Linked DNA regions of Danio rerio. The protein of the gene in region 1 interacts with the protein of each later gene in a pairwise test. Links are inferred from orthologs where the notes say so. Each region holds a gene or a part of one and is shown on either strand. Other genes may lie near its edges.

Region 1 (5,726 bases):
ACAGCAAATGAATGATGAAAGTAAAAATAATTCAATAAAATTAACCGTAGTTAAGGTCAGAAATGGTACAGTTTCTTATAACTAAATGCTTTTAAAATCATTATACAATCACAGGTATCAAAAACATGTGCAAATGATCATTTATGATACAATACATATTTCTACATTGCATATCCTGTAATGTGACTATTAACATTTCACTTACATATAATTACATATTGCTTTGTTTCAATATTTACATTGAACCAGGCAGTGATGTTTTGAATGGGTCATTTTCAAAAAATTACTGTTTTAAGCAGTCATGTTCATTCTTTTTTATGTGCATTATTTGTCATAGTTCTTGTACAAGAAGCAATTGTTTTTAATTAAGAATTTTCTTGTTTTTTTCATCCAGTTATTGACAGCGGCACAATTGTTGAAGTAACATCATAAACAAATTTAATTTTAAATTTCATTCAAGCACTTATGTTTGTTTTTAAGTACTTTCCAGGTCTTGAACCTATATTTCCAGGACTTGAATCCATACGAGTACTTTCAAATACTTTCAAGAAGTGTGGAAATCCTGTAAGCAGCAGTAAATAGCTTCTGTATAATTATATAGAATAAATAATATATAGAATAAGTAATCGAATATGACACGTGGCTGACTATACTTTGCAAGATAATCAAGACCTTTTTACGTAACTGGCTACAAATTATTTTTTATTAAAATAAAGTGTTAAGTTCTAAGAATACAAATATTACACACAGGGCACAGATACATTGAAATAATATTTCTCAATAAAACCATCTTATAGTGTTTGTAATCAAATAAATGCATCATTGATGAGCATAATAGGCTCTTTTTTTAAAGGTTCAAGACACTCTGGAGTATTTCTTTGAAATTTTAACAGATGTGTGTGTGTGTTGAGCATCAGTTAAGACAACGTTAGCACCTGTCAGCTTTAATTGTGGGGAATACTGAATAATGGGCGTCACGGTAATGCACTGGGTAGCACGATCGCCTCACAGCCAAGAAGGTTGCTGGTTCGAGCCTCGGCTGGGTCAGTTGGCATTTTTGTGTGGAGTTTGCATGTTCTCCCAGTGTTGGCGTGGGTTTCCTCTGGGTACCCCAGTTTTTCCCACAGTCAAAAGACATGCGGTACAGGTGAATTGGGTAGGCTAAATTGTCCATAGTGTACGAGTGTGAATGAGTGTGTATGGATGTTTCCTAGTGATGGGTTGCAGCTGGAAGGATAAAACATGCTGGATAAGTAGGTGGTTCATTCCACTGTGGCGACCCCAGATCAATAGAGACTAAGCCGAAAAGAAAATGAATGAATGAATGAATGAATGAATGAATGAAAACTGGATAATTTTGAGCTTTTGTTAGATAATTCAATTTTCCGGGTTTAAAATATTTTTGGGGCGGGATCAAAATGACGTGACGGTGACGTGGCGCAAATTTGCGAATGAAATGATGACGTGTCGGTTTCTCATTATTATTCATAGCGGAGCTTTCTTATCCTGTGCATGGTTTCCGCTACATTCATTCTTTCAAGGCGGGGCGCCACGTCAAAATTCATCCCGCCACAGCTACATTACAGCTTCTGATTCAAAACATTTTATTTTTTTAATAGCGGGTGATAATCGCACCAAAACGTATTAAAGGGTAAGTAAATTATAACAACGCAAACTTTTCTGTAACCGTAGTAAGTGCTCTGCATCATTTCTTTAACCTTTTAAGGTGACGTGGTGACTGACTGAAAGACTGACAAGTGCGTGATGCCAAACACGACGTATAGTCGTTTCACTTTACTTCATTACGCATTAATGCTACTCTCTAGGTCTATTAGAGGCATTTATAAACATTCCTAGCAAATCTAATAAATGCTGGAGACATAATTGTTACATAAACGCACTAAATCGCACTCAGCAGCGTTTGTTTGAGATCGCACAAGATCTGCGCACTCTTCAAGCGGCTTATGTTTGAGGTGGCGTGCAAAAAGTTTTGTGCATGAGCAGAGGAAATCGGCGTGCAAGCAGAGATTCACATGCTCTTACATGTAGGTTATTACATAAATGCGATCTCGACATCTAATACTGCGCTCACAACATTTGTCATTAAAATAACGCCACAGGTATTTGGCAGATCTGTTTAAAAAAGGACTGCCGCCACAGCTGGAAAAAACCCAAGAGGAAACACTACTATGAGAAGACCCTGCTTCTTAATAACAGACCTGCAAAGCTGTGAGAGCCATTGAGTGAGACTGTGCTGCGCATAGCATGGGTCGTATGTGTTTGTTTCCATGGTCCACGGGGTTTGTTGCATGTTTTTACCCACGATGCTGTTGAGGCCAATACAGCAAAGCTGTTGGTTTGCAGCAAGCCTTTTTGTCAGGTGTCTAAGTATAGGAGTTTATAGTGTTTATATAAACCTGATTATCTTTATAATGATATAACAAATTGTGGTTTTGTGTATATGAAATTACGAATAATTTATGTAGCAGGGCATTAAATACCTTACTGTTTATTTCTTTACATTTTAACTTTGTAAACTATAAAATCATGGGTCTCATGGTTTGTGTCTCATTTTGTGAGCCAACTAACAGCAGTTGTTCGCTTCTCTCTTTTTCCCCTGCTCTGCTGGCCACGCCCACTCCTCTCTCTGCATGTAAAGCTCCACGCCCATTTCGGAGCATTTTTTGAAATTTTTTTTTGGCAGACTAGAACCAAAAGAGGAGGGTGTTATGGCCCTTTAAACAAAGCAATTGTAAATCTTAATGTTTCCAAACACACACCTTACTGGCAGGTTTAATGTCCCAATGTTCAGCCTCTTTGAGCTCAGTAAAACCAGCCTTCAGCAGGCGAGATTTGCACTCCTCCACCACTGCAAGACACAGAAGGAAACAGAAAAACAGTTAAAAGGGAAACATACTGTGTGTAAACTAACATTCTTGCATGCTCAAATACACCTGAAATGACAAATCACAAAGTCTGTTGATGTAGGGAAAAAGTGAAGGTGCATGCTTTCAATGTCCAGATCAGGATCTATTACCCGTATCTGGAGCTTTATCAGCTAGAGAGGAACAATGTTCAAGACCTGTATCTAGTCAGACTGTAAAGTTGGCTAATTTTATTATCAACAAAGTGTTTCTCAAACTCTATAAATAAAATAATTTATTTATCCATATAAATGTTAAATTGTATAGCCTTGCAGCTCAATATACTGCAATTTACTCCCTTCACACAAAAAACACTACGATAGTTTATTGTGATTACTATGTAGTTTTTGAACCAAAATATTGGAATGTATTATCTGCTGTATATAGACTTTAGTATTTACAATTCTTTGTTAATGATTAGTGCAGCATTAATGTAGTATTAACTATAGTAAACTGCTAAACCATGGCCAGTTGTATAATTTAGTTTTAACTACAGTAAACAGTGGTGTAGTGTATTATAGTTCAGATCATTTGTTTATATTACTACTTACAGATGATTTCATATGCTTTACTACAGTGTGACTCAAAAACATACTATATACTATAAATGCCAATAATAAAAATATATTTACTACATGTGTCATTCTTACCATGGTAAGGTGAAACTCCTTTATTGACAAAATTAAGAAACTCTTTGGCAGCGGCCTGTACAGCTTCTTTGGAGCTTTTCATGATGAAAGACTGTGGAAATCATAAGAGAAGTGTTAAATAAATAACATACAGGGACAGGAGACAGTCATATGCTAATGTTAGTTAACGTAAGACATTGTGGAACCAGGTCTACTCTTGTTTTGTGAATGTTCACTTCGAACCAAGTTAATACACACACTTAAAAATGACAGGTGCCATTTGTAATGTAAATGTGCAATAAAGTGACATACAAACACAAAAAATCCCTAAAAAAGCGTACGTTACCAAATCACAACCCTAGCAGCAAACCGGAAATTCAACACGAGAACCACTACATAAATCTCTGCACAAATAGCGCTCTTACAAAGTTACTCGACAACCTTTCCTACCTGCATAAATGATAAAAAGTGGACTTTCACATTCAGTTCAGGGGATGAAGAAGGCAGGAAGCTCTGTGGATTTGCTGTCGCCTTGTAGCAGAAGGAGGATCGCGCTCTCTAGTGGTTGGAGGTGAAGTAGCTCTTCTGGCAGCCCACATTAGCACTTTTTACGTTTTGCTAGCATGAAGCTCGGAGATTTATATCATCTTATTTATACCGAACAATTATTTTCATTACCATATTAATTATACAATTAATATTGCGGGGTGTAAATACATCCACCTAATAAGGAAAAGGCTTTCCAAATATTTAACTTTTACTTCAAACAAGTACTAAAAACAAACCTCATATGAAGAGTTCAGATGCAAATGCCATCAGAAATCTTCTAAAATGAGCACTTTTCTATTTTTTTTTCTCCGTGTAGTTTCAGATATTTCACTGTTATGGTTATTGGTTATTTTCACTGCATTTAAAGTCAAATAACAGCATTTAAACATAGGACACTGAGAAAAAAAAATTCATTTTTGAAGACCATTTCAGATGGCATTTGGGTTTTTGTATCTGAACTCTTCATATGTAAACACACTCAAAAAGATTTTTGAAATTATATGAAATTAAATGAGATGAAACAACACAATTCTTGAGATTTTTTAAAAAAGCTTGTTTTGTGTTTAATGCACAAAATAGTTAATATTGAACAGATTTTTGTTGGAACTACATGAATTATGAGGAACCCTGCATTTTTTAGTGTATGACCATGTTTCGTGTAAATGTTTTGTGACGTGGCAAAAATGTTATGTAATTTATTCTGAACAAGTATTTTTATTAGCATATTAATTATACAAAGTGAGGAGTGTAAATGTATTTGCACATAAAGAAAAGGCTTTACGATATTTAATATTTACTTCAAACAAGTATTAAAATATATTATTGTTATTTATTAATGTACTTTTTTATGAAAAGTTGCAAAATTATGTAGCACTGTTTAATATTATTGACTATTTTTTATATTTTTATTATTACACTTTTTCATTCATTCATCCATTCATTCATTTTCTTTTCAGCCTAGTCCCTTTATTAATTTGGAGTTGCCACAGCGGAATGAACCACCAACTTATCCAGCATATTTTTTATGCAGCAGATGCCTTTCCAGCCGCAACCCACCTACATCCATACACACACATTCACACTCATACAGTAAGGACAATTTAGCCTACACAATTTACCTGCACAGCATATCTTTGGATTGTGGGGGAAACCTTAACACCCAGAGGAAATCCACGTGAACGCAGGGTAATCATGCAAACTCCACACAGAAATGCCAACTGACCCTGCCGAGGGTATATATATATATATATATATATATATATATATATATATATATATATATATATTTATTTATATATATATATATATACATACATACATACATACACACATATATATATATATATATATATATATATATATATATATATATATATATATATATATATATATATATATGTATATATACAAATATAAATATATATGTATATATACATATATATATATATATATATATATATATATACGTATATATACATATATATATATATATATATACATATATATATATATATATATATATATATATATATACATATACATATATATACATATATATATATATATATATATATATATATATATATATATATATATATATATATATATATATACATATACATAT
Region 2 (5,133 bases), on another chromosome or scaffold:
TATATATATATATATATATATATATATATATATATATATATATATATATATATAGTTAAAGTCCGAATTTTTAGTCCCGTTTATTTTTTCCCCCAATTTCTGTTTGAGGAAGAGCAGATTTTTTCAGCACATTTCTCAACATAATAGTTTTAATAACTCATTTCTAATAACTGATTTATTTTATCTTTGCCATGATGACAGTAAATAATATTAGACTAGATATTCTTCAAGACACTTCTATACAGCTTAAAGTGACATTTAAAGCCTTAACTAGGTTAATTAGGGTAACAAGGCAGGTCAGGGTAATTAGGCAAGTTATTGTATAATGATGATTTGTTCTGTAGACTAATGGAAAAAAATATAGCATAAAGGGGCTAATAATATTGACCTTAAAATGGTGTTTAAAAAATTGAAAACTGCTTTTATTCTAGCCGAAATAAAACAAATAAGACTTTCTCCAGAAGAAAAAATATTATCAGACATACTGTGAACATTTCCTTGCTCTGTAATAATTTGGGAAATATTTAAACAAGAAACAAAAAAATTATTCTGACTCCAAATTATCACTTGATAGATTACGATAACAACGTTTGTTAGTCCTCAAAGAAGGTTGTATTTTCTGGTTGGATGATATATACGAGTTATTGACTTGACGTTGCATTTTCAAGACAAAAAATGACAATAATTAGTGTCATATAAAATGCATAACTGTTAAACATACTGTAGACCTCTTGTTTGAAAAACTTATGTGTTAGTATTACATTTTTTGCACTTTTGAGCCAGGATGGATGGATGGATGGATGGATGGATGGATGGATGGATGGATGGATGGATGGATACATAGATAGATAGATAGATAGATAGATAGATAGATAGATAGATAGATAGATAGATAGATAGATAGATAGATAGATAGATAGATAGATAGATAGATAGATAGATAGGCAGGCAGATAGATAGATAGGTAGATAGACAAACAGATGGATAGATAGACAGATAGGCAGACAAACAGGTAGACAGATAGATAGATAGACAAACCAAACATATAGATAGACAGAAAGGTAAGTCTCCCGCAACCCTCCCGTTTTGTTATGTCTCCTGGAAAAGTCACATAATTTCGCCCAGTCTGTGAAACCCCGGGGTCACCAACTTTGGTATATTATCCGATCGCAGCGGTCGCCTGAAACGCACTCCATAGTACAGTTACTAACAGCACAGTACCCGCTTCTTAACAGTGTTATTCAGACACCTCACCCCCGAACCACCCCCAGATCTCCCAGACTTTCAGGAACAAATGTTGGCAGGTATGAGACAGATAGACAGACATACAGATAGACATATCCTAGATGTGCAGTTTTGTACCGTACAGTTGAACATTAGTACCTCTAGGGTACACCTTTGCACCTTTAAAGTTCTCTTTTATCCCTTTAAGATACTATGAGGTACACATTTGCACTTTTAGGTATTTATATGTGCCTTTGTACCTTTATTTTTGAGTGTGTAGAGCATTCTTAGTTTGGCATTAAAAAAGGTCAACATGTGACCAAAAGTGCACAGACATCTTCCAGATCTGTTACCTGTGGTTCGACATCCAGCACTGCGATCTTGCCCTGCTCGTGGATCTTGTGGATGGTTTCGATCTTCGTGCCGAACATGTGTCCCTGATAGCTGCCGTACTCCAGCAGCTCGTTTCCAACAATGCCTTTAGTCATCTCGTCGTTAGAGATGAAGTAATATTCTTTGCCGTTCTCCTCGTCCTTCTTCTGAGGTCTAGTTGTATCTGCAAAGAAAAAACATTATGATCGTGTAAAACATATGATGGAATAGTTGGTGGTTCATTCCGCTGTGGCGACCCCTGATAAATAAGGGACTAAGCTGAAAGCAAATGAATGAATGGGAAACAGAAGTGAAGGATACATACGTGGTGCTGGATAAGCAAACTTCTCAGGATATTTGCTCAGCAGTGAGTTTTTAATAAGGCTCCTTCCAACTCCATGTGCACCTTTACACAACAGAAAGAAACAGTTTTAGTATCTACTGTATAGTGATGAATGGAAATAACAAATAGATTTTATATTCCTATTTTCACTATTAATAGCACAATATATGGCTCACCGATGAGAACCAGGGTCTTTCTGTTGAACGCTGGAAGTCTCACTACCTCTTCATAAGATATGACATCAAGCTGGTCAAAGACTAATGAAAAGACAGAGAAATTCATCAGTTAATGCTCTATAAGGGCATCTGTAGACTTAAATAGTGGCTTTTATTACATTAAGCCATGATGTGGTTATTCAGAGGTATAATAGAAAAATATTTAGATTTATTAAGCCTAACCGGCCACTTAATTAGGTACACCTTACACCTTGCTAGTAGAACCAGGTTGCCTTCAGAACTGCCTTAATCCTTCATAGCATATATTTAACAAGCTACTGGAAATATTCCACAGAGATTTTGCTCCATGTTGACATGATAGCATCACACAGTTGCTGCAGATTTGTCGGCTGCACATCCATGATGCCAATCTCCCGTTCCACCACATCCCAAAGCTGCTCTATTGGGTTGAGCTCTGGTGACTGTGGAGCCCATTTGACTGTGGAGCGGCACCCGGTGTGGTCTTCTGCTGCTGTAGCCCATCCGCCTCAAGGTTGGACGTGTTGTGTGTTCAGAGATGCTCTTTGTGAGTTACTGTTGCCTTTTTATCAGCTGGAACCAGTCTAGACCATTCTTTGTAAACCCTAGAGATGGTTGTGCGTGAAAATCCCAGCAGATCAGCAGTTTCTGAAATATGTGGACCAGCCCGTCTGGCACCAACAACCATGCCACGTTCAAAGTCACTTAAATCCCCTTTCTTCTCTATTCTGATGTCTTGACTATGTCTACATGTCTAAATGCATTGAGTTGCTGCAATGTGATTGGCTGATTACAATTTGCGTTAACGAGCAGTTGGACAGCTGTACCTAATAAAGTGGCCGGTGAGTCTATATATATATATATATATATATATATATATATATATATATATATATATATATATATATATATATATATATATATATATATTTATATATGTGTGTGTGTTTAAATTTACAGACTGTCTTACTATTATATTATATTATATTATATTATTCACAACATTCAAATTAGCCAAAAATATTATTATCGTGATTGGTAAATTATAAATGTAATAAATAATAGCACTAGGCTTAAACTGCAGGTGACAATAACATTAAAAAACAATTTGTTAACAAGAATACAAATAAAACATTATTAGTTTGTTTTGTTGTTAAGTGTAAATCATTTTCAGCAGAACATTAATGACTGTGAAAAGACTTGTAACATTCCTGAATTTGCATGGAAGTGAACACAAATCCTTTTATAAATAAAGCAGCACATGTGTGTTTAAACAGTGTGCGAGTACTTTGTTTTACTGTATAATGTTATAAAACTTTATGAAAATGCATAAATAAGCAGTGTGTGATGGTATACAGGTGCGCTTCACTAACTTGAGCTGTGTTTGGCGAGGTATTTGTCTTTGCATTTCTTCTTCTTGCCAAAAGGACTGCAGGACTGTCCAGCTTCCCGTGTTGCTTTGCTTTTGCTCGCTACTCTCCTGCAGAAACACCACAAGCATTTACTGAACTCACTGCTCAAACTGTCCTGAGAACCAAAACGCAGGCTCACTGGAAATACAAGCTTCAGCCAACATTTACAAATAGGTGTTAAATTTAGTTCCTGGAGGGCCGCAGCTCTGCACAGTTTAGTTCCAATCCTGCTTTAACACACTTACCTGTTGTTTCAAACATGCCTGAAGGACTTAATTAAATCAATAAGCTGTGTTTAATTAGGGGTAACGCTAAACAGTGCAGAGCTGCGGCCCTCCAGGAACTGGATTTGACACTTGTGCTTTAACGCATGCTACACTGCAGTATGTAGGTAAAATGAACACTAGGGGGCAGTATGATGATGACCTTTTATTCCTTTTCACAAAAATGATATTTAGAGACATGGTTAACGAATAAAGGATTGCTTTTATGCAGTGCTTAGCACAACAGCAAATAAACCCCACAAAACAACTTAACGCTGCCTGTGATTACGAATACTGATAATGAATACTGTTGTGTCAACAATATATCTGTACATTTTTTTGGCATGGTCAGTTTTCTCGTAGCTCACCTTGTACTGTGTTGTCCTACAGAGTGCTTCAGATTGAGTCCGATAAAGTACGTTTTTACGATGTAAAATCAAGGTGAAACTATGTTTATTTCTCTTACGTCTGCTTCTGTAAACACTATCGGTTGGGTTTAGGAAAGAGTTTAGCTTAGTGGTTCGCTAGCTGAGTTGCACGACAAGCTCTGCCTTTCCCTGGACGTGTACAATAGGGACATTTATATGAAACTCAACTCACCCTAAGTAACGTATTTCAAATTCGCATATTTTCACAGCACCCTCTAGTGGATTTGTCATCTAAAACGAACAACAAAACTACCCTAAGTAATGTATTTAAAAGTCGCAAAAATGCAGACAGCCCCCTCTAGTGGATTTTTCATCTGAAGTTGGCAACTAAATGTACCCTAAGTAACATATTTTAGTCGCCATAATGTAAATAGCGCCCTCAAGTGGATTTGTCATCTGAAACGTACAACAAAACGTACCCTAAGTAACATACTTCAGATTTACAAACATATAGACAGCGTCCACTAGTGGATTTGTCATCTGAAACCTACAACAAAACACACCCCAAGTAACGTATTTCATATTTGTAAAATGTAGACATTGCTCTCTAGTGAATTTGTCATCTAAAACGCACAAGAAAACGTACCCTAAATAACGTATTTCAGATTCACAAAAATGTAGACAGCACCCTCTAAGGGATTCGTCATCTAAAACATGCAACAAAATGTACCCTAAGTAACGTATTTCAGGTTTGCAAACATGAAAACAGCGCCCTCAAATGAATTTGTCATCTGAAACGTACAACAAAACGTACCCTAAGTAACGTACTTCAGATTCACAAACATATAGACAGCGTCCTCTAGTGGATTTGTCATCTGAAACGTACAACAAAACGTACCCTAAGTAACGTACTTCAGATTCACAAACATATAGACAGCGCCCTCTAGTGCATTCGTC

The links.
Region 2: the proteins of dnpep (region 1) and mpp1 interact in binary tests that used the Homo sapiens proteins (3 or more experiments, as listed by UniProt). The two-hybrid records come from large-scale screens. The link is inferred for Danio rerio from reciprocal best matches to the Homo sapiens genes DNPEP and MPP1.

What each region holds. Positions count from the first base shown.
Region 1 is NC_133181.1:14,867,031-14,872,756, reverse strand, and holds the start of dnpep (aspartyl aminopeptidase), read right to left. Parts: upstream 3,992-5,726; 5' UTR 3,900-3,991; intron 3,666-3,899; coding exon of another isoform or gene 3,657-3,665; coding exon 3,575-3,656; intron 2,870-3,574; coding exon 2,781-2,869; intron 1-2,780.
Region 2 is NC_133196.1:48,085,956-48,091,088, forward strand, and holds part of mpp1 (55 kDa erythrocyte membrane protein), read right to left. Parts: intron 4,824-5,133; exon of another isoform or gene 3,740-4,823; intron 3,614-3,739; coding exon 3,507-3,613; intron 2,197-3,506; coding exon 2,116-2,196; intron 2,003-2,115; coding exon 1,922-2,002; intron 1,781-1,921; coding exon 1,578-1,780; intron 1-1,577. UniProt on the Homo sapiens protein: Essential regulator of neutrophil polarity. Regulates neutrophil polarization by regulating AKT1 phosphorylation through a mechanism that is independent of PIK3CG activity.